Elephas maximus indicus: one gene and its partners. The protein of the gene in region 1 purifies or fractionates together with the protein of each later gene. This does not show direct contact. Links are inferred from orthologs where the notes say so. Each region holds a gene or a part of one and is shown on either strand. Other genes may lie near its edges. The genes, in order: ACTB, PFN2, CORO1C and MORF4L1.

Region 1 (7,937 bases):
GAGAGGGCCTGGGAAGCCAGGACCCCTGGCCGCCCCCGACCCCAGGCTGCCTGGGAGGCTCCCTCTCAGCTCTTTGGGTCTATCTGGATTGGCTCAGTTTCTCATCTGGAGAACAGGGACAATTGGCCCTATGGCCGACGTATTCAGGGACAAGAAGAAAGGAACCAGCTGATGTGTGTGTATGTGTGTACATGAGTACAGAGTACATGTGTATGTATGTATATGTGTGTATGCATATGCGTATATGTATCTGTGTGTGTCTAGAAGGGAAAGTACAGGGAGACTTTTTTCTTTGTCTGAATAATTGAATCAAATGAGCAAGGCTGGGAACTCCCCGGGAGGGCAAGGCAGGTTTCTCTGGGTGCCCTGGGGACTGCAAGAGAGAGGGTAGTTTTTAAGGATTTTTTCGAACTCTCCCAAGAAGCGTCAGCAGTTCCCAGTTTCTCTAGGGCAATGTCCCCCCTTGCCAGATGAGTGGCTGGGAGCAGGGAAGGCCCCGACTGTCCGGCACAAGGAAAGGCAATGTCTGGAGGCTTGGCCTAGGTGGAGTCCGTGACCCTGGCCATGGCCCAGCCCAGCCCTCCTGCCTCTGAAACCCTCCCTTTCTCTTCACCACCTCCTTCAGCTGCCTGTCACCTCCCCAGAGAGGCCCTCCCTGACTGTCCTTTGGCACAGTGATTAAGAGCTCAGCTGCTAACCAAAAGGTCAACTGCCCCCAAACCCTACGGGGCAGTTCTACCCTGTCCTATAAAGTCCCTATGAGTCAGAACCTACTTGATGGCAGTGGATTTGGTCTCAGGTTCTCCTTCTTAAGGAAACCTGTGCTTGCCCTCAGAGAGGCATTAGACTTGTTTTTCTTTGCTCTTTTGTTCGAGGTCTGTCTCAAGGATTACACTCATGATCCTTGCTCAGAACAGTGCCTAATGAACTCTGGAAGCCTGTCTGGCTGATCGGTGCGTGGGAAGCAGGATCAGTGTGATCTAGGAGGTGCTCCAGAGGAAAGGCCTTTCAGATTCAGCTCCTGGCTGTGCCCTTGCTGTGTGATCTTGGCTGGACTTCTTTGCCTTTCTGAGCAGGAAAGCTACTGCTATTCTGTCAGAGGAGGGAGGAAGTCATGGTAGGCTTCCTGGAGGAGGCAGCCCAAGAGGGGACACTGAAGGCTGAGGAGATCTTGGGCAGGAGGCAGAGGGACCCCCAGCACATGCTCTCCAGATTCCTGAGGTCCAGTTGCTCAAAGGGGTCTGGGTTGTGCCTTGAGAACATTCTAGAAACAGGGGAGATGGGGGCAAGAAGTGGCAGGAGAGAGCAGGTATGGGGCCTCAGGATGGATTGTTGTGTGACCAAGAGCTGGTGCTGTCCTCTCTGGTCCTCAGGAGGCAAGTGTTGAGGAGGGAAGGGTCCAGGAATTCAGCCTTTTGAAGAACCTTTGATCCAGGTCCCTGGGGACATTCCAGGGGACACTTTAGCCAGGGAGCGGCAATGTCAGAAGGAAGGTGAGGCTGCCACCTCTGGGTGCCTGGAGTTTGGATCCTTCACACAGGGGTGCCAGCCCTACGTGCTTTACCAGTCCTGCCTCAGTTTCCTCATCTGTAAAAACGAGATGTTTCAGCTCCTCCTTCACTCCAGCACTCAGTCACCCCTCACTGAGCACCTACTGTATGTGGGGTCTCTGCCCTACTGGAGCCAAAAGTCTAGAAAGGGAGTTCTCCTGCCCTGCTCAGCCTCCCTTCTCAAAAAAATGGAGCGTGGGACCCCCGCCTGGCAGTGGGGCTTCAAGGGAGTGGCCCCTCCATAGGCACTGTAAATGCTACAAGACACCGTGTTAGAGATGTCCCCTTGCCTGGGGGCCTTGCAGGGTGGGGGAATCCCTAGAGCAAAGGCATGGAGGTGGGACCAAGGCGCTGAAAGAAAAAGTACCAGGGGAGCAGGTGGAGTCTGCAGCGGCTGGGCCCCAGCTGAGGTCTTGCTGTGGCTCTGCCGAGACCTGAAGTCCCAGCTGTGAAACTCCCTGCAAGAGCGAATTTCCCAAGCTAAGAAGAACCTGTTCACTTCCTCTCTCCTGCCCTCTCCACCCCCTCCCTCCAGCTCTCCACTTCCTCTTTTCCTCTTCCTCTGCTTGCTTTCTCTCTCTGGCCTGTTTACTGGCCAACTGAGCGCCTCCCCCACCTAGGCTGGCTGCCCTAGCCCCCTCCTGCACCCCATCTCCACAGGGTCCTCTCTGAAGGCTGAGGACACCCAGTCAGATGCCACTCAGTTGCCGTGGAGTCCATTCCAACTCATGGCAATGCCATGTGTGTCAGAGAACTGTGCTCCATAGGGTTTTCAAAGACTGGTTTTTCAAAAATAGATTGCCAGGGCCTTTTTTCCAAAGTGTCTCTGGGTATACTAGAAGCCCCAGCTTTTCAGTTACAGCTTTTCAGTTAACCTTCTGCACCTCCCAGGGATTGAGGACAGACAGGTGGTCAATTTTTCATTTAGCAGAGTAGGCCCCTGGGGTGCATGTGGTGGGAAGTAGGGAGGCCAAGACCCTCCAAAGGTTCAGTTATAAATGTGGGCCCAGCACAGTGATCTTGTGTGAGAAGGAGGGTGTATGTGGACCATGCTAATGGGCTCCCCAAGGAGGGGTGTTCTTGGATGGGCCTTGCAGGATGCATAGGAGAGCAAAAGGAAGTGGCGGTTGCAGGCAGAGGGAGCCAGAAGGCCAGGAATGTTACAGCCTGAGGCGAGGTGAGCTGGAGTGCCTGTCACTTGACAGGCCCCTGGCTGGGTGCCTGGGCAGAGGCCTCTGAGAAGAGGCCAGGTAGAGCTCAGGACCCTTGCCCTATAGCTCTGGCCCGCCCCGCTTGCTCAGCACCCATTAGGCTCTGTGCACACAACGGGAGCACAGCCTCATCAACAGTGAGTGGAAAAGGTTGCCCCCCAGCCTGCTGAATCACAGGGTTGGCAGATTCTGAGGCGGCTGGCAAGACTCCTGCCACTGAGAGACACAAGGCCAGGGACAGGGCAGTCCAGCCCCCAGGGAGGGGAGGCAGGGAGTGGACAGGCTGAGAAAGTGCTCCCAGGCCTGGGCGGTAACAGTGGAGCAGTGGCAAGTCACCTGGCAGGCCTCTGGGAATGTGTGCATGGGGCTCGGAGCTTATGACCTCCTCTGTAAGCTGGGTGGTGGTCACTCTGTCCATCTTCATAGTGCTCTGCCACCTCTTTCCTGGCCACAGGTACCACACCCCTATGAGGGCTAATGGAGCCTTCATTTCCACACACATTCCCCAAGCACGTGCTATGTGCTGCAAAGCCCTGGGCAGACAGGGTGTCCAGCATGGACCAGTGGTGGCAACTAGTGTGTGCCCCTAGCTGGACCACCTTCCTGTTTTCTTCATATGCAAGTCCAACTTCTTGTCACCAGCTCCAGAAGGCCTGCATGCCTCCCTAGCCAGAGCCACATGCTACTCTGGGATCCCATGGCCCTGGGCTTCTGTCTGGACACACTGACCAAGATGTGGCTACCCAAATCAGGCTAGTAGCTCCCGGAACAGGGAAGTGGGCCACTCACTGCTGACCACCTGGAACACTCCTGGGCATAGAGGTCCTGCCCAGTGTTTGGTGAACAGACCCAGGGCAAGAAAGAGTGACCAGAGGCTCTTGAAGGACAGCTCCCACCACCACTGTCCCCCAGCTCCTCTCTGGCACAGGCAGTGTCCCTCCCCAGTGTTCTTTGCAGACTCCAGATGGTCCAGGTAGGCAGCTCAGCTGTAGCTACACATGACAATGGATGGTGACCCAGTCCTCAGGGCTGTACTGAGCCCAGCAGGGCCTAGCAGCTGCTCGGCCACCGGCTAACGGCCCTGGTCTGGCCTGGGTGTGCCCAGGCAGCCCTCAGAGGCAGCCTGGCACCATGGGAACAGTTTCCTTGCTCCATGGAGCCCAAAGCCTGTGGCTGGGGTGGCTGGGAGACTTCCGCACAGTGAAACCTTGGGGTCCTGGGGCCTGGGCCCTGAGGTCCTTCTAAGTGGCCACAAGCCCCCTGACTCCCCCAACCCCTACCCTCAGCCCCAGACCTCTGAGTAGGGCCCCCCTGCTCCGTAGCAAGCTGAGCATTCCAGCCAGAAACCCCCAGCCCGTCCAGGCAGTTTCGCTAATGTTGGCAACGGGCAGTGACCCCTGACTGCCCCCACCTCACTTCCCCTCTCCCGCTGCTCCTCAAGCAGGTGCCCACAGCAACCAGGCCTCTGGCAGTACCCAAGCTGACCCGTGCCAATCGGGCGTGCACTGCTCATGTGACATCCACACCCCGAGGGTCCCGGATAGGGGGTGCGGAGAGCGGGGCAGGCGGTGGCCCAGGGCGCGCACCCTGGCCCACGAACCCAGCACCCAAGGGCGGCCAAAGCCAAAACTCTCCCTCCCTTCCTCAATCTCGCTCTCGCTCTCTCTTTTTTTTTTTTTGCAAAAGGAGGGGAGAGGGGGTAAAAAAATGCTGCCCTGTGCGGCGAGGCCGGTGAGTGAGCGGCGGGCGGCCAATGAGCGGCCGCCGTTCCGAAAGTTGCCTTTTATGGCTCGAGCTGCCGCAGCGGCGCCCTATAAAACCCGGCGGCGCGTCGCGCAGCCACTGCCGAGACCGCGTCCGCCCCGCGAGCACAGGCCTTTCGCCACCGCACCGCTACCGCCGCCGATTCACACCCGCCACCCCAAAGGTAAGCCCCTGGCCGGGACCCCGCGCACAGTGCCCCCGCTGATGGCGGCCCCGTGCACAGTCCCCCCGCTGATGGCGGGACCCCGCGCACAGTCCCCCCGCTGATGGCGGCCCCGTGCAGTCCCCGCGCTAATGGCGGGGCCCCGCGCACAGTCCCCTCCCTGATGGCGGCCCCGTGCACAGTCCCCCCGCAGATGGCGGCCCCGTGCACAGTCCCCCCGCTGATGGCGGCCCCGTGCACAGTCCCCGCGCTAATGGCGGGACCCCGCACTCAGTCCCCCCGCTGATGGCGGCCCCGTGCACAGTCCCCGCGCTAATGGCGGGGCCCGCGCACAGTCCCCCCCGCTGATGGCGGGACCCCGCGCACAGTCCCCGCGCTAATGGCGGGACCCCGCGCACAGTCCCCGTGCCCTCTTTCTGGGCAGCCAGCACCCCTTGGCCGGGTTGCCTTGGTGTCTGCCCACAAACCGCGGCCCCGCGACAAGTGAAGACCCGGGAACAAGGGCTTGGGAAGCACGGCCCTGAGGGGTTCAGTGGTCGGGGTTGGGGAGACCCAGCCTTTGTCTGAGCGGGCAGGCTGCTTGCTGCCAGCCGCCTGGCTAAGTGGGTGGGAGCGCGCGGCGGGCCCAAGCCGGGGCCGTGTGGGGGCTGGGGCGCTACTGCGCGTGCGTCCGGCAGCCGCGAACGCGGACAGCGCGGGCCGGGCCTGTAGGGTGAGGGCGGGGCGGCCGTCCCGGAAGGGGTGGGGTCGCAGCAGCCGTGAAGGCGGCTGCGCGCACTTAACTCCCTCCGCCCGCCGAGGGTGTGGCCGCGCGCCCAGCCGGGTTTGAACGGGGCTTGGGCGGGGCCGGCGTTCGGGGGGCGGGGCCTGGCCTGCGGCCGTTGCCGAACAACCTTTGCCTTTTATGGTAATAACGTGGCCGGCCCGGCTTCCTTTGTCCCGAGGCCGCGCGCCGGCGCCCCCTGGCGGCCCGAGGCTGCCGCGCGCCGGAAGCGGGGAGGGGCGCAGCGGGCGGGGCGGGGGCGTCCTGCTCATAGACTGCTCCCCGCAGTTCGCCATGGACGATGACATCGCTGCTCTCGTGGTCGACAACGGCTCCGGCATGTGCAAGGCCGGCTTCGCGGGCGACGACGCCCCCCGGGCCGTCTTCCCTTCCATCGTGGGGCGCCCCCGGCACCAGGTAAGGCGACAGTCTATTCGAAGTGGGTGGGTGAGTGGGTGGGGCTCTCTCTTGGGCGCGGCCCCTGGGACCTTGGGAAGGCCATATGGGCGGGGGTCAATGCTGACTGCCTCCTGCCCTTCTTCCGCAGGGTGTGATGGTGGGCATGGGCCAGAAGGATTCCTATGTGGGCGACGAGGCCCAGAGCAAGAGAGGCATCCTGACCCTCAAGTACCCCATTGAGCATGGTATTGTCACCAACTGGGATGACATGGAGAAGATTTGGCACCACACCTTCTACAACGAGCTGCGTGTGGCCCCCGAAGAGCACCCTGTGTTGCTGACTGAGGCCCCCCTGAACCCTAAGGCCAATCGCGAGAAGATGACCCAGGTCAGTGGCCAGATGGGGTCCTGTTGGGTGGCATCCGCCACCCTTTTTTAACTTTCTCCACCACGCTCTTTCTCACTTGTCCTTCTTTCTGCCGTTCTCCTAGGAGTCTCTTCTCTGATCTCAGTCTCCTGTGGAACTGTACAGGTTCTGTTTGCCTTTCCCCAGACGCAGTCTCTTTCTGGTGTTTGTCTCAGTGACTAGGTGTTTTAAGCCTTTAGTGCTGTGGGTGTAGGTACTAACACTGGTTCTATGCCAGAACCAAGAGGCTGGTGTAAGATGGCCTCAGAGTGTGTATTCAGTAGGTGCACAGTAGGTCTGAACTGAATCCTCATCCCCACCCCCAGCACTCTTAGCTGTGTTCCTTGCACTTTCTGCATGTCGCTGGTCTGGTCTGGCTGTTCCCTCCCCTCTTGGGTGGGCAGGGCCAGCTTCCTGTGCCTGACAAGGCCTCATGTCTTCCCCACAGATCATGTTCGAGACCTTCAACACCCCCGCCATGTACGTGGCCATCCAGGCCGTGCTGTCCCTGTATGCCTCTGGCCGTACCACCGGCATCGTGATGGATTCCGGCGATGGGGTCACCCACACTGTGCCCATCTATGAGGGCTATGCTCTCCCCCACGCCATCCTGCGTCTGGACCTGGCTGGCCGGGACCTGACGGACTACCTCATGAAGATCCTCACGGAGCGAGGCTACAGTTTCACCACCACGGCTGAGCGGGAAATTGTGCGTGACATCAAGGAGAAGCTCTGCTACGTTGCCCTGGACTTCGAGCAGGAGATGGCCACGGCGGCCTCCAGCTCCTCCCTGGAGAAGAGCTATGAGCTGCCTGATGGGCAGGTCATCACCATTGGCAACGAGCGGTTCCGCTGCCCCGAGGCCCTCTTCCAGCCTTCCTTCCTGGGTGAGTAAGCTGGGCTCCTGGCCCCTGCCCTGCACAAGGGCCAGGTGTCCCTGCAGCAAAACTAAATCTAGTCTGCCTTCCATTTTCTTCCAGGAATGGAATCCTGTGGGATCCACGAAACTACCTTTAACTCCATCATGAAGTGCGACGTTGACATCCGCAAGGACCTCTACGCCAACACAGTGCTGTCCGGCGGTACCACCATGTACCCGGGCATTGCTGACAGGATGCAGAAGGAGATCACAGCGCTGGCACCTAGCACAATGAAGATCAAGGTGAGTGTGTGTCCAGTCACATGAGTTGGGAGACGGCCACCAGTTTGTTGGCCATTGTGTGGGATGGTCCCAGTGGTTGTCCAAGCGGTCGTCAGCCATCTTGGCGTGTGGTTCCCTAGGATGTTCAGGAGGCTTTTCTGTCACCATGTGCCAGTCCCACAGGGCCGCCACATCCCAGTTCTCACACAGATTGTCTGCTTCTCTCCCCAGATCATTGCTCCTCCTGAGCGCAAGTACTCAGTGTGGATCGGCGGTTCCATCCTGGCCTCGCTGTCCACCTTCCAGCAAATGTGGATTAGCAAGCAAGAGTACGATGAGTCCGGCCCCTCCATCGTCCACCGCAAATGCTTCTAGGCGGACTGTCTTTAGTTGCGTTACACCTTTTCTTGACAAAAACCTAACTTGCGCAGAAAAAAAAAAGAGATGAGATTGGCATGGCTTTATTTGTTTTTTTTTTTTTTTTTTGGTTTATGTTTTTGTTTTTTTTTTTTTGGCGCTTGACTCAGGATTTAAAAACTG
Region 2 (7,376 bases), on another chromosome or scaffold:
CGAAAGATATGCACAAAAGTCTCCAAAGTATCCAAATGCCACCAACTGGGAAACAGATGAATCAACTACAGTGTAGTCACACAGTGGAATATTATATAGCAACAAGAAAGAACACACTAGTGATAAAGAGGTCAGTAGTTAATGATAAAGGCAAAATTCATCAGAGAGAAAATGTAACGACGTCAACTTGTATGCACTTAATTAGCCTCGAAACAGAAAGCAAAAATTCACAGAATTTCAGAGAAAAATTGACAAATTGAAAATTGTAGGTACTACTGTTCTTTCTTATAAAAATCATACATAAAATAAGCGAATAAACTCAAAAGGTGACATTTGTATTAGATTGCATGAATAGCTGTGATTTTTCTCTATTTTTAAAACTTTCTTGGCTGTTGTGGGATTACTTTTATAACGGAAACATTTTTTCCAAAAATGAAGTGTTGGAGTGAGTTTATTTAATTATGGTTTTATTATAGTTTGAGCAATTATATTCTACAGTTTTAGTTCCTACCACAATATGTATCAAGTTGAGTACATTTTAACAATAACAACTTAATTTCTTGTTTCTTTATATTTTGCTGAAATATCAAATGATTTATTCATGAACTTACATGGCTCAGGCACTATTTGACCTATACATTAAACAATCTGGTATGCTGAACTGTTTCCGTTTTACTAAATAAGAATAAAAAATTTTGGAAAGAATGCATAATAATGTACCCCAAATTTAAACATACTGATTGTTGATGGCTAGATCATTCTGGGTATATGTATCAACAAAAGAGCCACAATTTTTCTCAGCTTTTGCCCAGACGTTGCTATTATTGTTGAAAAAATTAGAGAAAAATGCTGTGTGCGGTCAAGTTGATTCCAGCTCATAACGACCCTAGAGGACAGAGTAAACTGTGCCACCATGGCTCCTTTAGAGAAAGACACAGGTTGGTAACTCATTTTCTAATATTGTTACCACTTTGCACTTGTTACCAAAACCAAACTCATTGCCATCCCTTTGATTCCTACTCACAGCGACCCTATAGGACAGAGTAGAACTGTTCCACAGTTTCCAAGGCTGTAATCTTTATGGAAGCAGACTGCCACAACTTTCTCCCGTGGAGCGGCTGGTGGGTTAGCAGACCTTTTGATTAGCAGCCAAGCACTTAACCACTGTGCCTCCAGGGCTCCTTTGCACTTAAGTTACAGGTTTGTGATTCTTTTTCTATAACTGATACTCCTTTGGACTTAAGTGGAGCCCTGGTGGCGTGGTGGTCAAACACTGGGCTGCTAGCCCAAAGGTTAGTGGAGAGTTGGTTTACGCCCACCAGCAGCACCGCAGGAAGAAGATGTGGCAGTCTGCTTCTGGAAAGATTACAGCCTTGGAAACCCTATGGGGCAGTTCTACTGTGCCCATAGAGTCATAATGAGTCAGGAATCAACAGGACAATGACTTTTTTTTAAATTTTGTTTTAACTTATATTGCTATTCTTTAGTCTCAGTATTCTACCTCTACATATATTTTTTGAAACATGTTGTGATAAGCAATAAGTTATATGAAATAGGAAGTGACCACTGTATAAACCAAACCAAATCCATTTCCAGCGGAGTGGATTCTGACTCACAGTGACCCTATAGGACAGAATAGAACTGCCCCACTGGGCTTCCAAGGAGCAGCTAACAAATGGTAAATAAGGCACATTCCAGGAAGGAAACTGATCTGGCTCTAGGGAAAACAAGCACAAGATGATTTTATCTGAGTGCGAAAACAGACGGTAAATGGACTCTGAATATATAACATAAAAAAACTAAAGTGTAAAATTCAGTTAGTCTATTAAAAAAACAAACCCACTGCCGTGGAGTCGATTCCGACTCACAGGGACCCTTTAAGACAGAGTAGAACTGCCCCATAGAGTTTCCAAGGAGCACCCAGGGGAATCAAACCGCCAACCTTTTGGTTAGCAGCCGTAGCACTTCACCACTACGCCACCAGGGTTTCCACTAGCCTATCAGGCAGAATATATTTTTCATAATTGTTTAAATTTTACTGTCATTTTGAGAAAATAACACTATGTTGGAAATGTAAAACAGTAATTTTAGAAGGTACTGTTGCATTTTGAAAAATATAGAAAAAATAAAGACAGGAATTCTAAATCCTTACGAATGCTTTACCTGACGTGTTTTAGAATCTTTTGAGGTGTGTATTTTCTTATGCTGTTTAAAGCCAAGAATTAAAGAATAAAAATGAAATGTAGTTATTTCTCACTTTTTGATGTAACAATAGTATAGTGTTCTTGGAATGAAATCTTAAAAACCTTCAGGCTCTATTAATAAGTAAAACTCAATTTCAACGTACTTCTTTAAACTATCATCACTATTATTTTTCTTTTCTGTCATTACTTTTTGATTAAACTTGTTGATTATATACAAAGTGCCCAAATCATAAATGTACTGCGTGATGAATTCTCACAAAATGAATATATCCGTGTTAACAGCACCCTGTAACTATTAACTTTTAAGGTGATAAAATGTTAGAATAAAATCCTAAAACCATCATCAATCACAAAAAGGCAGAGGAGTTAACAAGACCAAGTAAATGTAATTAAATCAGGTGGAAGGAACACTTGCAAAAATGAAACATTTCTGCACACATTTCATACCACCTAGGTATTGTCTTCAGAACATGAGAAAATACAGTCTCAATCTGATAGGTCCCTGATTTGGGGTTTAACCTACTGCTTTTTTTTTTTTTTTTTCCTTCTCCCTGCAGTAGCTGGACATTTCAAAGCCAACAGGAGAAAAACACAAATTTCAGAACCTATTAGATGGACTAGCAACGTTCTTTTCTTCCTTCTCCCGAGCTACATTCTTGTAATTCTCCTGTCACAAATGGTGACCTTACACGATAACTTTCAAGTTCGGCATCAACTTTTCAACGTTTTAAAGTTGTTCTCTTTCACTGGCACGTGAAAACTGGTGCCATGGTTGTGGGACGTCGCTGAATTCCGCGTCTAATCGTAGCGAAGACGACGAGAGGCCGTTCCCAGGGGCTCTGCCCACCGCTAACCTTGTAAATACGAGCCTTTCTCAGGTCTGGGTCCTGAAATTATTTTACCCCTCAAGAGCAGAAAAGTCGCTATGTTCATTTAGTGGGTCCTTTCCTAGATCTTTATTCTTTGTATTTTCAGCCATTGCCTCGGCCCACCCGTATCATTCTCCGTTTCCAAAAAACAGTTTATATAGGTCGCTATTGGCTTTGTTCGGAATTGACAAGTTATTCGACCACAACTGACTAGTAACATCAACAGGGCTCTTCCTGGCAAAGAATCTCAAGAACGCGAGGCCCCTTTTACCTAAAAGAGGCAACAATGAAGGACCCACAAAACTCAGCAGGGTCCCCAGGAGCCTCCACGCCTGCGCCGACTGCAGCTTTCCGGGGCGCCCGCTGGGTACCTTTCTGAGCGAGGAGCAGAGGGATCTGGGAACCGGGTCCCGCGGGGGACGCCTAGGGGCGACCCTGCCGCCAGCCGCCCCACCACAAAGGAGCGTAACCGCCCCGCATCGCGTCGCCAGGGCAACGCTGCAACCCGACTCTGACGCTCAAGAGCCCGCATCCCGCACCGCCGCGCGCGGGAGGGCGGTACGGCCAGGCCCGGCCGCGGGGACTCCCGGACATCCCTGCCGCCGCCGCAGGTGCTGACCCCGGGGCGCTGAGGGCAACCGAGGGGACGCCCCCGCCGCCCCGGCGCCAGGCTCGGCCGCCGCCAGCGACCCCGCGGACGCCGCCTGCACGTGGCGGCCGTGATTGTCCCGGGGCGGTATCCCTCCGCGCGCCGCCAGCCCCCTCCCTTCCCGGGACCCTCCGTGTCGGGGCGCCGCGGAAGGATCGCACGTACGCGCGCACACACCCCGCCGCGGCCGCGAGGGTTGAGGGAGCCGCGGGAGGAGCAGGCGCGGCCGCTGTCGGCACAGCCACTCCGCAGCCTCCCGCCGCTGGTTAGTCAGCCCGCGGCTGCGGCGGGCGGACGGCGGGCGGCCGAGCCGGGCGCGCCCGCGGCTCGTCCCTCCCCGGCGTCCCCGCGTCCTCCTGCCGCAGCTCCTCGGGGAGGGGGGCGGTCGGTGCCTGCGCAGAGCCGCCTCCTCCCCGCCCCCGCCCCGCCCCCCCCGCCGCCGCCGCCGCCGCCGCCGCTGCGCTGCTGCTCCTCGCCGTCCGCGCTGCAGTGCGAAGGGCTCGAAGATGGCCGGTTGGCAGAGCTACGTGGATAACCTGATGTGCGATGGCTGCTGCCAGGAGGCCGCCATTGTCGGCTACTGCGACGCCAAATACGTCTGGGCCGCCACGGCCGGGGGCGTCTTCCAGAGCATTACGGTGAGGACCGGCGGCGGCCCGGACCCGGACCCCAGCAGGGCCGGGCGTCGCAGCGCGGGGCCGGCCGGGAGGGCCGCGCCGGAGGTGTGCGAGGCTCGGGCGCCGCGCATGCAGCCGCGGGGCTGGGGGCTCGGGGGCCGGGGTCGGGAGGGCCGTGCCGGTAGGTGTGCGAGGCTCGGGCGCCGCGCATGCAGTAGCCGGGCTGGGGGTGCGGGGGCCGGGGCCGGGGCCGGGGCCGGGGCCGGGAGGGCCGTGCCGGCAGGTGTGCGAGGCTCGGGTACCGCACATGCAGCAGCCGGGCCGGGGGTGCGGGGGCTGGAACCGGGGTTGGGAGGGCCGTGCCGGCATGCGTGCGTTGGGCGCCGCGCGTGCAGCCGCCGGGCCGGGAGTGGGGAGGCCGGGGCCGGGAGGGCCGTGCCGGAGGTGTGCGAGGGTCGGGCGCCGCGCATGCAGCTGCCGGGCCGGGGGTGGGGAGGCCGGGGCCGGGAGGGCCGTGCCGGAGGTGTGCGAGGGTCGGGCACCGCGCGTGCAGCAGCCGGGCCGGGGGTGGGGAGGCCGGGGCCCGGAGGGCCGTGCCGGAGGTGTGCGAGGGTCGGGCACCGCGCGTGCAGCAGCCGGGCCGGGGGTGGGGAGGCCGGGGCCCGGAGGGCCGAGCCGGAGGTGTGCGAGGGTCGGGCGCCGCGCGTGTAGCTGCCCGGCCGGGGGTGCGGGGGCCGGGGCCGGCGGTCGCCCGGGCTGCGCGGACAGGCGGGGGCGCCGGCGAGTCCCTGAGCGGGTCGGGGTGCCGGGGGGGAGGGGGGCACGCACCGGCCGGGCTGGGGACGCCTTCCCCCCCCGGCGCGGCGCCCTCGGGTCCCCTACAAGCTCGGGGCGGCTTTGCACGTCCGGGGGGGGAGGGGGGGGACGCGGGGGTCGGGGCTCCGGGCCGGGGCGCCCCGGGCCCGGGCGGGGTCCCCCGGTGGCCGGGTAGCCCCTCGCTTAGCGGACCTCGCGCCGCGGCGGGCTGGGGGAGGCGGCGGCGGCCGGGGCCCGGGATCCTCGAAGCGACTTGGCGTGGACGGTCGGAGCCCTGCACGCCGAGCACGTAGGTGGGGCCGTGAATCCCGACTGGGGCTCCGGGTGTATAGGTTGTCTTTTAATTCTCCAAGATGGCGAACTGCCATTGATTTCTTTCCTCCTCCCGCGGAGCCTCATCGATACACCGTTATTCTCAGTTACGCAACAGAGCTCCGGAAAGGGGGTGCTTGGACGGGGGGCTTCAGTCATCTGGGAGCCCGGGGAACACCTTACTGCCCCCAGTCCCTCCCTCCTAAGTCAGGGCTTTAAAGGAGCTCATGAAGGTTTATGCTTCACCCTGCCTGCGCTTCTTGTGACTTGATGGTTGTGACTTGGCTGCCCCATGTTTGGGGGAATATTTGTCACTAAGCCTCCGGATCTGCCTATTGTGTCGCCTGTTTCTGCCCCAGGCTCGTCCTAAAATTGTGACGATGGTGTCAAATAACGGGCCCATTTCTTTCATTTCTTAGTCTCCATTCTCCGTTCCCAGCAAACACCAAAATTCAGGTCCCCCTTAACGGGTGCCACTTATCCTTCCTTTGCTGCTTCACAGGGTTTAAGGTCTGATTGTGTAGACCTCCGCCTTTGACACGAGGACTGTCGGGTCTCCTGTGCCCATAGGGAGCTGCAGTTCTCCCGGAGGACTGGCGTCTGGCGATCAACTTTTCCTGCAGTCCTCCTGTCTTTGTGTGGGAGTTCCCGCTGTCTGGCTGGGGAGATGGCCCGAGTGTGCTTGGAAATGGCTGGGGCCTGCCATGACTCTGCAGTTCTGATGGGGGCGACGCCTTCCTTCTTATTCATGGAATGTTAGCATGCTCCTTCTCTCCTTTCGGGTCCTGGGGTCTACCTCGGCTTCTTCCCCATCTCCCTCCATCATCTCTCTTTTACCGTCACCTCCTGCGGCGCTGCAGACCGAATCCTCCTGTCCTTTGCCGGGAAAGAAAGCTGATTACTGAAGTGGGAGGGGAGGGGAAGGGAGTAGAGAGTAGTGGTTAGAAAAACAGCGACGAGGGAAATACGAATTTGGAGAGGCGCTGAGGTCAAGCGATAGAAGCTCCTATTGTGGGGGATATTTCAAGCTCTCCAACGGAGAGAGGCAAACAGATCTCTAGAGCATGGGCTTTATTTTGGGAGACTGTCAAGCAACTTTAAATTTGGTGCAACATGATTGAGTGTAGTGTGACCGAAAATGATAGACAAACTGTTGTTGAAAGCTTTTGTGGCTGAATCTTTACCGTTACACAGACACCTTCAGGCACCACCTCACTTGATGTAGTTTGTAATTCTTAAGTTTGTGGAGGGTCAACTACCAATTAGAGAGATTCTTTGTGTAGACTGGTCTTTAGCTAGCAGACCATTGTTAACTGTGAAATCTGAACTACTGTAAAACATGTAACCAGGTAGGACTAGATAATTTTTTAGAAGACCGAACCTTGGTTTTGCTTTAGTGAAATGTGGGTGTCTTGTGGCAGTAGAACTTTGGCACACCATCCTTCCTGTTATATTGAGGCCTGAAAGGAATTAATTACAACTTCATGTTTTTTGTCTGTCTGTTTTTGTTCTTTTTTGGGGGCAGCCAATAGAAATAGATATGATTGTAGGAAAAGACCGGGAAGGTTTCTTTACCAACGGTTTGACCCTTGGTGCAAAGAAGTGCTCGGTGATCAGAGATAGTCTGTACGTGGATGGTGACTGCACAATGGACATCCGGACAAAGAGTCAAGGTGGAGAGCCAACATACAACGTTGCTGTCGGCAGAGCTGGTAGAGGTAAGCAGGGTGCTCTGTTGGAAAACTGCATGCCACATTACAACTTACTGAGCACTTCCGTTCACATTTTGTATAAAAGTGGTAGTCCGTAATGGCGACTAAGGTGGTTTTTGTGAACTGCCCAGCACTGAAGAGAGGCACTGCTTTAGCTTAATTCTGTAGCAGCTGCATGTAAAGCCTAGCCTTTTGGG
Region 3 (8,267 bases), on another chromosome or scaffold:
AGGTCATACTGAAATATTCATGAGGTTTTCCTGTTTTAATACAGAAAAGGCATCTTAAGTTAAAAAGGACTTTCCCAGAAGTGTCAGAAAAAGAGTTTTCGGAACTCAGGGAAAGGAAGGTATCAAACGGAAAATAAGCTTAAGAGTTTTTATCACATGATTTTGCGCCCTGAATATGAAAAGTGGTACCCAAATTTATTATTGCTCCACCCACAAAAGAGGTCAAAGGTAAACAGCCTAACTAACAATACCTGTTTCTAAAGCAGCAGTTTGTGACAAAGTAAAATATTAAGAAACAAATATTTTGCAATCATGAGAATTGAAGCTTTCACATTCCCAGGCATATAATAACTAAAAACTAATCATTTATCCTTTTGGACATTCCATTTCACAGGCATTAGAGCAACTCTGCTCCTCATGGTTGGAGCAGATCCCAGAAGTGACAGATGCGTTAAGCCTACAGTTTAAATTTAAAAAATCCAACAGTGTTTAAAAAATATTTGCCAATCCTGCATCTAATCCTAAACTACACAGACAGTAAAAGACATAAATGCTGATTAGTGTCATCTATAGGCAAAGTAATAAATGATCATGAAAAATTCCATACCGTGTGCAGTGATATTTCACTGGCATGTCCTCCCCCCACCAAAAAAAAAGCAAACCCATTGCCACTGAGTTGATTCTAACTCATAGCAACCCTATACGATAGAGCAGAACTGCCCCATAGGGTTTCCAAGGCTGTAACCTTTACTGAAGCAGGCTGCCACATCTTTCTCTCACAGAGCAGCTGGTGTGTTTGAACTGCTGACCTTTCTGTTAGCAGCCGAGCACTTAACCACTGCGCCACCAGAGCTCCTTCACTAGCATGTGTCTATTAAAATTCATTAGGCTTTAATGTACCGTTAACATGAACTCAAGAACAAACACAGACAAGGCACATTTTGGATTTATGAAAAAAGGTGTGTTCCTGGCTTGTATGACCCACCTTTGTTCAATCCTCAGTGTACGTGACTATCACCTACCACAAAATAGTGTACTTCAGGGTCTAATGTACTGTATATTTCTCTGTATTAATTCACTTTTTTCTTCCCTATCAATTTATGCAATTGCTCAGCTCCAGTGCTTACTATTAGGCTTCATATCCTAACATTATGACTGGAACATATCTCCACGCCAAATAAATGTTTCCGTAAATCAGCCTTCTTAAATGTACAGGCTCATGTCCAAAAGGGGCTTTCTTCAGTTTTGTAGGGAATGAAGAGAGTGAATCAATATTAAACAGACATGTATTAGCCACTGCTTACACTTAACCATGTTCCTGTCTATTCCAGCAGGCCCTGGTGTCAGGAGGGATTTCTGCCAGATAAGGACAATGAGATGCATTATTATATAGAGTGACTAAGAGCCCTACAAGCACTGTTTTAGAACGTAAGCCCAGGCAGGAAGGTTGGTTGTGCTAAGAGGATCTAGTATTCTGTGATAACTATTTCCAAAAGTCAATATATGTGCCACCCAGTACCAGTTTAAAAACACGCACTAAATTCGATTCCTTTAAAATGTCTTATGGGAAAGAAAGGCTATCCTGTAGATGAACAACTTGCAATTTGCTTCTCACTGTGAATCCCACGTTTGCAACACGTAGAGCAAGCACTTCAGACACCACAAAACAAGGGCAGCCTACATTAAGGCCAAATATAGGGTGTGATCCTAAACCATGATGCAGTTAAAGCCTACATTTCCTTTTCCAGCGCTGAAAACCCTTTGAACACTCCCAAAAAAGGACCGCAGGGCCTGTGCCTCCCTCTAAGAGGAAGCCCCTTTCTTCTCCGCTCGCTCCCCGCAGCCTGCGGCTTCCCCCTACACATTCAAATCACTGGAGAGACAGAGAGCTGGTGGTGTGCCTGCGCCGGTGTGGACGGCGGGAGGGCTCGGTTCCTGCATTTTCACCCTCAACATCTGACCTCATGCTCAGTCACTGGGGCGCTGCGGAGCCCCACCTGCCCCCCGCTCCTTTTGATTACTCCCTCCAGCTGCCCCACTAAGAGGGGAGCACATCCCTGGATCTCCCCGTTCACTCTCCGCCCCAGACCCCCCACTCTGCAGCGACCCTGCTCCGGTCTTCCTCTTGCCCCCGCCCCCGCCCCCTCCACCCCGCCAGCCCCAGCCCTCGGATCCCTCGGTCCGGCTCTGCCTCCTCCCAAACCGCCCCCACCCATATTACTCCAGCTCCAGCCCTGCCCCGCCCTTCCCGGGCCCCTACCCCAGACCTTCAGGGCTCAAAGCTGATCTTGCACCCAGAGCCCGGCGACCCCCAAAACCCGGGGGCCACCCTCGCGCCGGCCCCACACGAGCCCGGTCCCTACCCACCCCCACCCATTCGCTCCCTAGGGCGGCTCAAACCCCGCCCCCAGGCCTGGCGCCTCGGGGCCCTGCTCCCCAGCTGCAAGCGGCCCCTCCTCACCAAGCACTTCACCCATCGAGGGGGGTCTCGGACTCCTCTGAAACCTCCCTCGGGCAGCCCCCTCCGCACTAGCCCCCACCCCTCCCTCGGCCAAGAAGGTCCTGAACCCCTAAAAGCCTCCCCTGAGCGGCCCCCTCCCCACACGGACCCGGGCCCATTCTCCCCAGGCCAAGTCGTTCTCTCCCCAAACCTCCCCTCATCCAGATCCCCAGCCTCCCGCAGCAGCCCCCGGCCCTAACCCCTGCACATCGGCCGGGGCGGACCCCGATCCGACTATCCGCGCTCCACGCGCGGACCCCAGTCCGCTCCCCTCCACTGGGCCCTGCCCCACGCCCCGCCGACTCCTGTCAGCCGGCACCGGCACATGCTGCGAGGACCGGTTCCCGTGCCCGGCTCGCTCCCGAGCGGCCCCACCGGGCGCGCGCCGCTCACCAGGGCCGAGGTGCCTGAGGCGCCGCCGCCGCCGAAGTCCCCGCTGCAAAGCCGGGCGAAGCCTCTAACCGCTGCCGCCTCCGCCTGGCACTAAGCGCCGCGCGGGGGAGGGGCGCGGGCAGCCGCCGCTGCTGCCGCTCTCAGACCCCGCCCCCGCGCCGCATCGCGCCCAACCAGGGCCGCCAAACTGGGGCGGGCCCCGCCCACTTCCGGGAGGGGAAGCCCGCTTCCCACCCCTCGCCCCGCGCCCGCTAGCGCCACCTCTGGTCGCGCCGAGGGATGTAGGTGGGGCCCGGAGGAAGGCGGTGTCCAAGCGTAAGCACCGCCCACCAGTCATCGAAGAGGCCGCAGGGCCACGCCCACAAGCTCCTCCGAGCCACGCCCATTGCTTCAAAGAAGCCGACGCAGGCTTCTTACAGCTCCGCACATCGGTCCGCGAGGCTGTGAAGGGCCAGGACCCTCCGGCCCCGCAAGGATTCACCCACAGTCCCTTAAAACCCGAACATCAGCTTCTCTGAGCCCCGCCCGCTGCACATCAAAAACCCTTAAGCCAGCTTCTTGGCTCCCTAACCCGACTTCTTGCCCATGGCCTTAGAACTCACTCGTGGGCGCCACTAAACACCGTTTCCCCACCCCGATTTCCAGAAGCCCCGCCCACAAATCCGGAATTCTATTCGCGACATCCCAGAGTCCCGACCTCTGCCCCGAATTCTAGAAGCCCCGCCTCTGGCTTCAGAAGCTCCGCCCCTGCTCCCTTCACACCCTCCAGCCAAAGTTCCAGCCCTCCCTCCACCTCCCACTCCCACATTCCTAGTACAGATTGGCAGCCCCTGGGCTGGGCCACACACACCTAACCCCCCACAGTTACACAGGAGGTTCTGTTATTGACCACGTTTCGCAGGTGAGAAAACAGAGGTTCCAGGCTCCCTCCCTTCCTTTCCCTGGCCAAAGTCCTTCACTTTGTCTGCTCTGGCCTGAAATTCAGCTGGTTCCAGTCGTAGCTCTGCACCTGTCAGACTGTGTGACCTGGGGCAGTTCCCTTCACCTCTCAGCCAAGCGCTTAACCACTGCACCACCAGGGCCCTTTCCTAATATTTAGCTTGAGGAAGTTGTCTGTCAATAGCCAGAGTCCCTTTCAGGTTTGGGAAAGTTGGGCAAGAGGAACGGAACTGACAAAACAACTGCTGAGAGTTAGGGCTATTTACTTCCCAAATCCAGGCATGTTTGCCATTGACACTGGGACTCTCATTTTAAACATCAGCCTCGGAGGGACATGTGTCCACCTAAACCAAAACGTCTACCAATCACTTTCACAGCAAATTACTTATCCTCTCCTCAATTTCTTTATCTGTAAAAATGGGGGGGTGGGGTGGGTAATAGCAGTCCCTCCCTTGCAAGATTGTGGAAAGAATTCCATGAGATCATCTTTGTGCCTGGCTTGGGAAAGCCCACCAGAAATGGTACCTGTTGCTACTGTTGCTGTTATGGAGAGGTGGCTTTCACTTTGCCTTCAAGTAGCCACTGCAAAAAAACAGGGCCTCATTCACCAGACTGAGTCCAGTAAAACTACATGGTGCCCAGCTACCACCACTGACTGCTCTGACAGGGCTTACCATAGAGGGTCCTGGACAGAGCTGGAGAAAAATGTAGAACAAAATTCTAACTCAGAAAGAAAGACCAGACTTGTTGGCCTGACAGAGACTGGAGAAACACAGAGTATGGCCCCCGGAAACCTTTTCAGCTCAGTAATGAAGTCACTCCTGAAGTTCACCCTTCAGCCAAAGACTGAACAGGCCCATGGAACACAACAAGACTAAAGGGGCATACCAGCCCTGGGGCAGGGACTGAAAGGCAGAAGGGAACAAGAAAGCTGTAATAGGGAACCCAGGGTTGAGAAGGGAGAGTGTTGACATGTCGTGGGGTTGTTAGCCAATGTCATGGAACGATGTGTGTACTGTTTGATGAGAAATTCGTTTGTTCTGTAAAGCTTCAACTAAAGTACAATTAAAAAAAACAGGGCCCCCTTTCTGCACAAGATTTTACACTTACTTCATTTAAATGAGATAAAGAGGTAAAGGACCTAACACCCGCAAACAATTTGCTATCGTTATGATTCTTATCCTTAATTAAACGAGGTGCCTTGATAGCAGTGGGTTCTGATTGGTTTGGGGGGAAATGAGGGTTAATAAAGCTCTTTGAGATTGAACCAGGAACCAATCTGGTTTACTCTTTAGAGACAAATTATCGTTAGTATTTATTCATGACTTATAGAAGCAGGTGCTACACTGAGCGCTTCACATACAAAATTGCCTGAAAACTCCTCAACAATCCTATGGCCATAGAAACAATTCTTTTTTTTTAATTTCATTGTGTCTTAAGTGATAGTTTACAGCACAAATTAGTTTCTCATTCAAAAATTTATACACAAATTGTTTTGTGACATTGGTTGCGATCCCCACAATGTATCAGCACTCTCCTCCTTTCCCTTTCCACCCTGGGTTCTCCGTGTGGAAGGGCAGTTCCAGTTTTCCCATCCCTTCCTGCCTTCTCATCTTTGGTTTTGGGCAGGCGCTGCCTATTTGGTCTCATACACTTGATTGAACTAAGAAGCACATTCCTCATGTGTGTTATTGTTTGTTTTATAAGGCCTGTCTGATCTTTGGAAACCCTGGTGTGGAGTGGTTAAGAGCTATAGCTGTTAACCAAAAGGTCAGCTGTTCGAATCCACCAGGCGCTCCTTGGAAACTCTATGGGGCGGTTCTACTTTGTCCTATAGGGTCGCTATGAGTTGGAATCGACTCGATGGCAATGGGTTTGGTTTTTGTGGTTTTGGTCTCATCTTTGGCTGAAAGGTGGACTTCAGGAGTGGCTTCAGTTCTGAGTTAGCCGGGTGTCCAGGAGCCATAGTCTCGGGCATAGAAAAAATTATTAATCCCCACTTTATAGGTGAAGAAACTGAGATTTGGGAAGTTAAATGACTTGCCCAAGGTACACAGCTTGAACCAGGCAGAGCTAATACCGGAACCCGCCTCCATCTAATTGCAGTACTGCGCTCTTTGTCGTTACACTCAACTGCCTCCATGACAGCGTGATGGAATAGAAAAGCCATGGACTTTGGATGCTGACAGAGCTGGATTTAAATTCAGGTTCTACCACTTATCAGTTGGGTGTCCTTGGGTAAATCACATTAGTCTATGGACCCTACTCTTCTCAACTGTAAAGTGGGAGTCATCCAAATGCTTCAGTCATGGGGTGGTTTTAAAGATTCAATGAGTTAACCCATGGTGAGCACCCAGCACTATGCCCAGCACATACCAAAAAAAAACCAAACCAGTTGCCATTAAGTCATCTCCAACTCATGGTGACCCTATGTGTGTCAGAGTAGAACTGTGCTCCATAGGGTTTTCAGTGGCTGATTTTCCAGAAGCAGATTACTGGACTTTTCTTTCAAGTTGTCCGTGGGTGGACTCGAACCTCTGAACTTTTAGTTAGCAGCCAAACTTTGTACCATTTGTACCACCCAAGGACTCTTATGCCCAGCACATAAACCAAAAACCAAACCCGTTGAGTCGATTCTGACTTACAGCGACCCTATAGGACAGAGCAGAACTGCCCCATAGGGTTTCTGAGGAGCGCCTGGTGGATTCAAACTGCCGACCTTTTGGTTAGCAGCTGTAGCTCCTAACCACTATGCCACCAGGGTTTCCACCCAGCACATAACCCCAAAACCCAGTGCCATAAAATAGTAGGTGCTTAAAACATGTTGATTCCCTTCTCCCCAGTTCCTTAAATGATGAAATTAGAAGTACGATTTCCCATGACACTAGTTCCTCCCAGATGACACCATCACGAAGGTCATCAAATACACGGAGAAAGAAGAATGGCAAGACTTTTGCCTTACAGCTGTGTGTTTCAGTGCCTCGTTTTGTCTCTGTGTTGGAGAGGTAATTCTTGCAGACAGTACCAAAGCCAGAAGCAATGCCACTTTCCCTAAACACCCCCACCCCCACTGTCAGAATGTGGTCAGCTGAGAGCTGCTACTCCTAGAAGCAGCAGGAAAATTGAATAACCCTTTACTGGAAGTAAACCCCAGCATCTCGCTGTTCTAGAATCCACCTGTCTTAGTCAGCTAGTGCTGCTGTAACAGAAATAGCACAAGTGGATGGCTTTAACGAAGAGAAATTAATTTTCTCACAGTCTAGTAGGCTAGAAGTCCAAATTAAGGGCGTCAGCTCCAGGGAAAGGCTTTCTCTCTGTGTTGGCTCTGGAGGAAGGTCCTTGTCCTCAATCTTCCCCTGGACTAGAAGCTTCATGCAGGAATCCCAGGTCCAAAGGACAAGCTCTGCTCCTGGTGTTTCTTTCTTGGTAGTATGAGTTTCCCCCTCTCTGCTCACTTCCCTTTCCTTTCATCTCTTGTAAGATAACAGTTGGTACAGGCCACACCCCAGGGAAACTCCCTTACATTGGATCAGGGATATGACCTTAGTAAGGGTGTTAAGGGTGCTACACCTCCTCTTTAACATAACATTAAAATCACAAAATGGAGGACAACCACACAGTACTGGGAATCATGGCTTAACCAAGTTGACACATATTTTGGGTGGACACAATTCAGTCCATGACACTACCTCAACCCCTTTGTGGGTCTGAAGGTAACCTTGGCTCTGTCCCAAATGGTGGGATTTGGGGCCAGGTAAGATGCTGAATTTGAGAGTCCTTTCCTGCTCTCATGAGTCCCTGGGTGGCAGAAACAGTTAAGTGCTCAACTACTAGCCGAAAGGTTGGCAGTTAAAACCCACCCAGTGGTGCCACAGAAGACAGGCCTGGTAACCTGCTTCCGTAAAGATTACAGCCAAGAAAAACTCCATGAAGCAGTTCTACTCTGTAATACATGGGGTCACCAAGAGTCAGAATCGGCCGGATGGCTACAAGTTTGGTTTTACTGTTCCCAGGAGTCCCTGGGTGGTACAAATAGTTAAGCACTTGGCTGCTAACCTAAAGGTTGGCGGTTCAAGTCCACCCAGAGGCACCTCAGAAGAAAAGCCTGGCGATCTACTTCTGAAAAATGCGTCACTGAAAACCTTGTGGAGCCCAGTTCTGCTCTGACACACATGGGGTTGCCATGAGTCAGTCAACTCGATGGCAACTGGTTTGGTGCTGCTCTCAAAAGCTGGTGATTTCTCAGGGGTCATCTACATCAACTGGTACAACATAGTTCATAAAGATAAAGCTCTACATCATATTTTGATGAGTAGTGTCTGAGGTATTAAAAGTTTGCATGCAGCCATCTAAAATACATCCATTGGTCTCTTACCGTCTGGAGCAAAGGAGTGAAGAAGACCAAAGACTCAAGGGAGCAATGAGTCCAAAGGAC
Region 4 (7,912 bases), on another chromosome or scaffold:
CAATTAATTTATAAAGGAAACATTTTAAGGACGTGTGCAAATTTCTTGTGGTCCGGTTTATTCAACAAATAAATGGCAAGAAAAAGAGACAGAGAATCAAATGAAATGTGTGGACCTTGTTTGGAACCTGATTTGAACAGCCAGTCTTAAAAATCATGTATGCGGCAATTGGGGGGATCTGAATACTGACTGGATATTTGAAGATATTAAGAAATTGTTTATTTTTATATGTAATAATGGTATTGCCTTAAAAATGTTCTTATTTTTTAGAGATACATACTAAATTATTAATGGATGAAATAGACATGATCTCTGGGATTTGTGTGTATTTATATTTTGGGAGGAAGAATGGGGGAGTACCAATGAGATAAGACTGGCCATGTGTTGATAATTGTAGAAGCTGAGTGAAGGATACACCAGGGTTCATTTATACTATCCCTTCTACTTTTGTTTATGTTGAAAAACTTCCATGAAATGAAATACCATTTGATAATGCAAAAACAAAGTGTCTTAAACGACTTAAACCAGTCATCAAACTTAGCATCACTAATAATTGGACAACTAGATATTATGTGCCTTCTTATGTTGACAGCATAATGTATCATCTATAGTGGAGCCCTGGTGGTACAGTGGTTAAGTGTTCAGCTCCTCTCCCAAAGGTTAGCAGTTCCAATCCACCAGCCGCTCTTTGGAAACCCGATGGGGCAGTTCTACTCTGTCCTGTAAGGTCACTGTGAGCTGGAATTGACTTGAAGGCAATAGATTTGGTTTTACACAATATTCAGTCAACAAAACATTCAACTTGAATCTAATCAAGCCTTTAGATCTAACTTTCGGTTTATAGGAAATACAATGGAGAGAGGTTATGTAACATCATGAGTAAATGATCAGACAAATCCAGAATGTCAGCTAGTCAAAACGCCAATGTCACGAACAGTTATTAATGCTACTACTAATAAAGTGAGGGGGAGCACTTTTTGTGCCAAGGACCCTGCTTAGGAGTCTGATGAAGCCAATGAACTCTTATTCAGAATAGTGTTTTTTAAATACACACAATAAAAACAGGATTTATAAAGAAAATTATATTGAAATATGATTATCAAAAATATTTTAAAATGTGATATGGTGGTATGGTAATATATATGCTTAATTATTAATGCATTAAATAACAAGAACTAGCGGGAAGTCTAGTAGCTACTTACTAGTTTTTAGTTATTTCAAATTAGTGATAAACGTAAAATACATTTGAGATATCTGCAATAACCGTAACATACTATGAAAACATCTATAATTTCTATTGGTGACAAAGCCACAGGTCCTGCTAATACTGCTGTAGTTTGGTACCTTTATTTAGAATGAAAAATTAGATTTTGGTGAAAATAAAGAGGTGAATTTTTTCCCATCTAAGTTCATGGACCTTCTGTATTATATCCATGGACTCCCAGGTTAAGAACCTCTGGTCTAGGTTTTAAAAGATTAAAGAGGTCTGTAATGTACTATCATTTAATGGTTCTTGTTTTGGAAAAAACAAGCAAACAAATATAAAAATATTTTGTGGACAATTAAGGAAATCTGAATACGGAGTGAGTTACATGATTTCAGAGAATTATTGTTAATTTTATTTGGTGTGGTAACAGTATTGTGGTAATTAGGAGAACGAATGCCTTTATATTTTGGAAACGCATACTGAAGAAGTCAGGCATGAAGGGGCATGATGTCTTCACATACACACACACAGCGCACACACATATAGGAAGATGTTTACAATTCCTTTATGTTGAATCGAGATGGTAGATACTGTATTATTCCTTTTACTCTTCTGTGTGTTTGGAATTTTCATAATAAAAAGTAAAAAAAAAAGTGACTTTACGATCTTTTTATTGAGATATAATGTAGATATGGTCAAGTGTATTCACTGTAAGCGTATAGGTTGATGAATTTTTACAGAGGTAAACACCCGTGTAAGCATACTAGCTCAAGATCTAGAACATTTCCAGCACCCCAGAGTTCCCTAGTACCCCTTTCCCAATCAACCTCCCCTTCCACCCCAGTTAATCACTGTCCTAATTTCTATCAGCACTGATAAAGAATATACTCTTTTGTGTCTGGTTTCATTTGCACAACATGACTTCTTGATATATTAAAACAAATTTTTAGAGATTGATAATACCACATTTGGCAAGGATATGGGAAAACAGGCTCTGTCTTAAATTGCTGGTTGAAATGTAAATTGGTGAAGCGTTTCATAAGGCTGTTTAAAATACTCACATCCTTTGACCTAGTAATTTTACATCTAACCCTTTGCCCTTAAGTCGATTCCGGCTAGGGGTCCTAAAACAATAAAAGCAATGTACATGAAGATACAGACTCAAAGGCATAAGTTTCTAATAGTCAAAAATTGGAAGCAACATAAATGTCCAGTAACGGAAATGAGGTTAGATAAATTATTGTATATTTACACTATGTGTCATGGATTGAATTGTGTACCCCCCAAAAATATGTGTAAACTTGGTTTAGGCCATAATTCCCAGTATCGTGTGGTTGTCTTCCATTTTGTGATTGTAATTTTATGTTAAGGGGATTAGGGTGGGATTGTAACACCACCCTTACTCAGGTCATCTCCGTGGTCCAGTGTAAAGGCAGTTTCCCTGAAGTGTGGCCTGCACCTTTTACCTCTCAAGAGATGAAAGGAAAGGGAAGCAAGCAGAGAGCTGGGGACTTCATACCACCAAGAGAGCAGCACCGGGAGCAGAGCGCATACTTTGGACATGGGGTCCCTGCGCCTGAGAAGCTCCTTGACCAGGAGAAGATAGATGACAAGGACTTTCCTCCAGAGCCGACTGAGAGAGAAAGCCTTCCCCTGGAGCCAATGCCCTGAATATGGACTTGTAACCTACTAGAGTGTGAGAAAATTAATTTCTTTGTTAAAGCCATCCACTTGTGGTATTTCTGTTATGGCAGCACTAGATGACTAGCACACTGGACTGGAACCCTTGGTGGTGTAGAGGTCAAGAGCTGCTGCTGCTGACCAAAAGGTCTGCAATTCGAATCCACCAGGCGCTCCTGGGAAATCCTACGGGGCAGTTCTACTCTGTCCTATAGGGTTGTACAGGGTGGCTATGAATCGGAATCGACTGGACCGCAACGCGTTTGGTTTTGGGGTTGGTTTATACTATATGTCATGAGGTATTAAAGGTGTGAGATACAGCTATATATATAATTGGAATGACCTCAGGCCATACTATTAATTTAAAAAAGAAGACGACCCAGAACAATATGTGTAGTCCACTTATGGTAAAAGAAAAAAAAAAAAAATTGGGGCTGAGAAAGATGTATACACCAAATAGTGGGGAAGCAAACTGGGGAAAGTAAAAGGGGCTCCTTAAATTTTGTGCTGTATTCTGTATTTCTGAATTCTTACATCGTGTACAAAAGCCATGAAAACAAGGATTTGTATAAGGCCTCTAGATAAGCTGGGAACTGTGTGTGGAAGGAAATTAATCTCCAGACTAAGGATTTTGGGATATATCCTCGAGTTAATGTTTAATGAGCGCTTATTCACTGTTTTTTTTGGGTGTGTGTGTGTTTTGTGTTATTCACTGTTAGGCACGCCGCTAAGCCTTTACGTGCAATTCTCATAATAAATCGGTTGAAAAGATGCTATTATCATTCCCATCTTGTAGCTGAGCAAACTAGGTACTGGGGAACGACATGGGGAAATCCGTTTGTTTAGACTCTGTGTATTTTGAATAAGACTTGCTCAAAGCAATTAGGTGACAACAAATGGCACAGATGATAGGGCAGGTGCAGAACCCCGAATTTGGCGGTGTTTGGTATTACTCACTTTAGAGTTTTTTGGCGGGCACAAATCCATTGATCTCAAAAAGCCAAAGGTCGATCCCCTAGTCTGCCTAGTGTTTCCCACTTCATCTTCTTCCTCATTGCCACAGGAACAGGGCTGGAGAAGAGGGGGCCTGGCTATCAGCTCCACCGAATATACCATCAGTGATCTTCCAGACGCATACCCTATTTCCCACCCCCTTCCCGCCAGAGCCCGTAAAGCTTTCCTACTACTCTGGAAAAGCTACTGAAAGTGAGTTTCAGGGGCAAGGCTACTGCAACGCCCACATCATTGCAGCCTCATTTTGCCCATGGGATTTAGCCTTTCCCATTCTTTTACTGTTGGTGGTCCCCAGCAACAACACACAAAATCAAATCCAGGCTTTAAGAACTCCGGATGGGCCAGGGGATGGAGAATGAGAGGCGGGAGGTAAGGAACGGGTGGTGGGGAATAAGAAGCGGGGGATGGGGAAGGGAAGAAAGAGACACCCGCCCCTCCCCCCACTCCGTCGCGACTCAACTGACTTGGAACTACCAATCCCGGCGTGCCCCGGGACGGCGCCGGCGCAGGAGCGCGTGCGCGGCGGGCAGCCGTTGGCTGAAGCTGCGGCTGCGCTGGTCGCGGTGCTGTGAGGTCTGCGGGCGCTGGCAAATCGGGCCCAGGATGTAGAGTTGGCGGTGCCTGACGGCGCGTCTGAGGCGGAGTTGGGTGGGGTAGAGAGTAGGGGGCGGTAGTCGGGGGTGGTGGGAGAAGGAGGAGGCGGCGAATCACTTATAAATGGCGCCGAAGCAAGACCCGAAGCCTAAATTCCAGGAGGGTGAGTCCGTTTTTTTGGGGAGAGTGCATCTAACGGCTCGGGAGAGGGAGGCGGGCTTGGGATGGTTGAGGTTTGGGGGTCGGGGGCGGTACGGGCTGCCCCCCGAGAAGGCGTCAGGCAGTGCTTTGTGCAGGCAGAGCGCATTGCGGAGGACAATTTTCGTGCGTCATTGGGGAAAAAACGCTCTGTGAGACGAGTGGGAGAGGGAACGCTTTGCGCGTGGCAGAACCTTAGTCAAATGTTTGTTATTGTTCTGAGGAAGAGCGCGGGGAAAGCAGCCTATTGTAGGGAGGCGACGGATGCGCCATGGCGGCCGTTAGGGGAAGTGATGTGGCGTGGGGGGAGGGGAGTTAACGGCGGTCGTTTTCGGGCGCTTTCGCGGGGATGCCGGCTGCGTGGGCGGCCAACGGCAGGCAGGCCGGGCTGCTTCGAGCCCCGAGGTGGTCGCCTTCTGTGGCGACTCAGAGGTGCGGCAGGGGGGTGGGTTTGGTGCCTCGGGGCGGGAGAGCCGCGTTGTAAAATGGCCGCTGCAAAATGGCCGCCCCATCATGGCCGCCGGCGTCTCGGCCGGGCCCGCAGAAGCTGCTTAAGGGCAGCTGCAGCGCCCCCATCCACGACAACCATAAGCGTTCCCTACCGCTTACCTCAGCGAGGTGGGTGGGGACAAAAAAAAAAAAAAAAAATAGCTTTTTCCTCTGCTTTGTGTTGCCTGAAGGCATCACTTTGCTTTCCTAAGACTGGAGTGCCAAGATTGTATATGAGTGTGAGTGTGCGCTGTTGCTGTGCAGTTGCTCGTTAACACAAAATGACTTTAATGCGGTGTTACTGATGTTTCCATTTATAATAAGTCTCGTTGCCTTGGTGTCGTTTTTAAAGCAGCAGGTATTTGACTAATTGCAATAACTTTTGATTAACAGTGATTGGGAAGTTGGATTTTTTTTTTTTTTTTTATCAATTGGCTTTTGATGGACAAGTGTTTTGGCTGGCGTTAGAACCTGATCTCCAGTGGTAGACAGCTCTTTAATTTTCACAAACAACACATCTACCCCAAACCAAGTATATAGTATTTTTAAGGACTGTTTAAGTTTCCAAGGGTACTTTTGATGAATATTGCTACCTTTTCCCATCTTGAGAAGCTAGCTCTACCGTACCTCTTACGGATTTATTATCTTACTAGGTGCTTTAGAGCAAAAATGCTTAATCTAGGTTCAGTTTATGGAATTCAGAGGGTCCGTGAACGCGGACGGGGGAAAAAATCTTTTTTTTTTTTCTACCTTCTAACTAAAACACTTAGTATTTCAATTATGAATGTAGACCCCCTGAAAACAAAATACCGATAGTAGTATTAGCAGTAATATGACTTTGTTACCAATAAAAATCTCAGATATTTTCATATCCTAACATTACAGTTCTGGAAGATATCTTTAGACATCATGTATGCTCCCCATTACTTCAAAATTATGGTAATTACTGGATCAACAGCTAAATTTTGTTTATTGCATTAAGGAGCACATATAATACCACAGAACATAATATTTAAAATATTTGGTAACTATTTCAGTATAGTTGGTTTCCTTTGTAATACTTTGTTCTATGCGTTTAAAAACTTCCTAAGCCTGTGAGGGGCCTGTTGTAGGATATGGAAAGAGGAAAACGATTGAGGTCTGGCAGTCAACGATGGCTTTCTGGAGGAAATGCTTTAGTTCTAAGCTTGAGAGATGGTGGAGTGAAGTGGATAACAGCAAATAATGTGTGTATTGCTATAGTGGTGGATTGGAGGAGAGTAGGAACCAAGGTTAGGACAGGTAAGGTTTTGAAAGTTAGGCCGGTTGTCTCTGCACTTACCGTCCATTACTTTTCCAGGTGTGTTTTCTACTGAAGTCAATACTGAATCATAGAATCATCTTTAAGAAGTTATACTTATTTATGAAACATGTTTAGAGGGTTTTGAAAAGAATATTAATGCTAACAATTACCTTGAAACAGTGGAAAAGTTCAGTTTATGAAGTAAAAAATAGGGATATGAATTATGAAAGTGTGGAAATAGCCTTTTTAATTGCTTTTCATGATTCTTGAAGGTTTCTCGTTTAATAAAGATACAGAGTATGTTATGTAAGCAATTTCTGAGCACAGTGACTACTTTGCACTGGACTTGGTCTTCCACTTGAATGTCTATTAAAGCACAGGGTAAAGGAAACTTAGGGGTCCAGCCCATTGTCAGGGGTTAAGAGACTGGCAGATGATGGCATGAGAGCAGTGTTCTTAGGAAGCACAAACCAGTAGGAGGATGGGGAATTGGAAGCTCATCAAGCTTGAACTCGAGCATTGGGTAGAATTTCCCTTGTAATTTGATGCTTGAAAGGATGAGGAAAAAGATGGAGCAGAGGAAGGCATAAGAAATCACATCCGAATGGTGTTTTGCTCTTTACTCAATTACTAATCTGTTGCCATGAAAAACAGCCATTTGTCATCATGTGTCATACTCCCTAGCAGCTCTGTATTTTGTTCTCAGCAGAAATACAGGACTAGGTAGGAGGTCATAAGACCTTAGCCTTAGTGTGATTATTTTTGGCAGCAGCAGCAGCCAAAACAACAAAAAACCCTGTGATAGACCCATTTTCAGAACACCTTTAGAGTGCATCTGAAGAGAGAAATTAGGAAGCAGATCTGATCTCTGGTGCTGCTGCTTATTAGCACTATAGCTAATCTGTATCCCCACGTTAAATTGCCCACAGTACTCAGTGATGATTCCAGCCCAGCTCTCCTTGGCTTCGCACATGTGCACCTGTTCATGAGATATTTCCATTTTGGAGGTGCTGTAGGCACTGTTACATAGTCCAAAGTTGATCCGAACCCTGCAGCACCCATTTCATGTTCTGGTTAATGCTCCCACTAGCCTGAGAGTCTGTCTGAATCTTTTTTGTTTTTGTCTTAACTGTCCTTTACTCCTTACTGCTTTTGGCTTTGGTTCAGACGCATTCAAGTTCTTACCCCTGGACTGTTGGAGAAGTCTTTGACTGGTGTCCCTGTTTCCAGTCACCTTTAATTCAAGCTCTGCATGTCGTTAGTTGCCATCGAGTCAGCTTTGATCACGGAGACCTTATTTATAATAGCATGAGATGTTGCCAGGTCCTGTGCCATCTTCATGGTCGTTGGTGTGTTTCAGTCCATTGTTGTGGCTGTTGTGTCAGTCCATCTCATTGATGGTTTCCCTTGTTTTTGTTGGCCCTCTGCCAAACACGATGTCCTTTTCT

What was found.
Region 2: the proteins of ACTB (region 1) and PFN2 purify together in Homo sapiens (affinity purification with mass spectrometry; 3 studies listed by BioGRID and IntAct, counting the BioPlex papers as one, with this or other methods). This does not show direct contact. The link is inferred for Elephas maximus indicus from reciprocal best matches to the Homo sapiens genes ACTB and PFN2.
Region 3: the proteins of ACTB (region 1) and CORO1C fractionate together in Homo sapiens (co-fractionation; 3 studies listed by BioGRID). This does not show direct contact. The link is inferred for Elephas maximus indicus from reciprocal best matches to the Homo sapiens genes ACTB and CORO1C.
Region 4: the proteins of ACTB (region 1) and MORF4L1 purify together in Homo sapiens (affinity purification with mass spectrometry; 3 studies listed by BioGRID, with this or other methods). This does not show direct contact. The link is inferred for Elephas maximus indicus from reciprocal best matches to the Homo sapiens genes ACTB and MORF4L1.

Annotation. Positions count from the first base shown.
Region 1 is NC_064830.1:100,216,897-100,224,833, reverse strand, and holds the start of ACTB (actin, cytoplasmic 1), read left to right. Parts: upstream 1-4,591; 5' UTR 4,592-4,688; intron 4,689-5,739; 5' UTR 5,740-5,745; coding exon 5,746-5,868; intron 5,869-5,998; coding exon 5,999-6,238; intron 6,239-6,704; coding exon 6,705-7,143; intron 7,144-7,236; coding exon 7,237-7,418; intron 7,419-7,628; coding exon 7,629-7,772; 3' UTR 7,773-7,937. UniProt on the Homo sapiens protein: Actin is a highly conserved protein that polymerizes to produce filaments that form cross-linked networks in the cytoplasm of cells.
Region 2 is NC_064841.1:9,982,739-9,990,114, forward strand, and holds the start of PFN2 (profilin-2), read left to right. Parts: upstream 1-4,151; 5' UTR 4,152-4,228; coding exon 4,229-4,360; intron 4,361-6,992; coding exon 6,993-7,185; intron 7,186-7,376. UniProt on the Homo sapiens protein: Binds to actin and affects the structure of the cytoskeleton. At high concentrations, profilin prevents the polymerization of actin, whereas it enhances it at low concentrations. By binding to PIP2, it inhibits the formation of IP3 and DG.
Region 3 is NC_064840.1:19,274,578-19,282,844, forward strand, and holds the start of CORO1C (coronin-1C), read right to left. Parts: upstream 3,004-8,267; 5' UTR 2,894-3,003; intron 1-2,893. UniProt on the Homo sapiens protein: Plays a role in directed cell migration by regulating the activation and subcellular location of RAC1. Increases the presence of activated RAC1 at the leading edge of migrating cells.
Region 4 is NC_064831.1:68,715,387-68,723,298, forward strand, and holds the start of MORF4L1 (mortality factor 4-like protein 1), read left to right. Parts: upstream 1-4,558; 5' UTR 4,559-4,618; coding exon 4,619-4,658; intron 4,659-7,912. UniProt on the Homo sapiens protein: Component of the NuA4 histone acetyltransferase (HAT) complex which is involved in transcriptional activation of select genes principally by acetylation of nucleosomal histones H4 and H2A.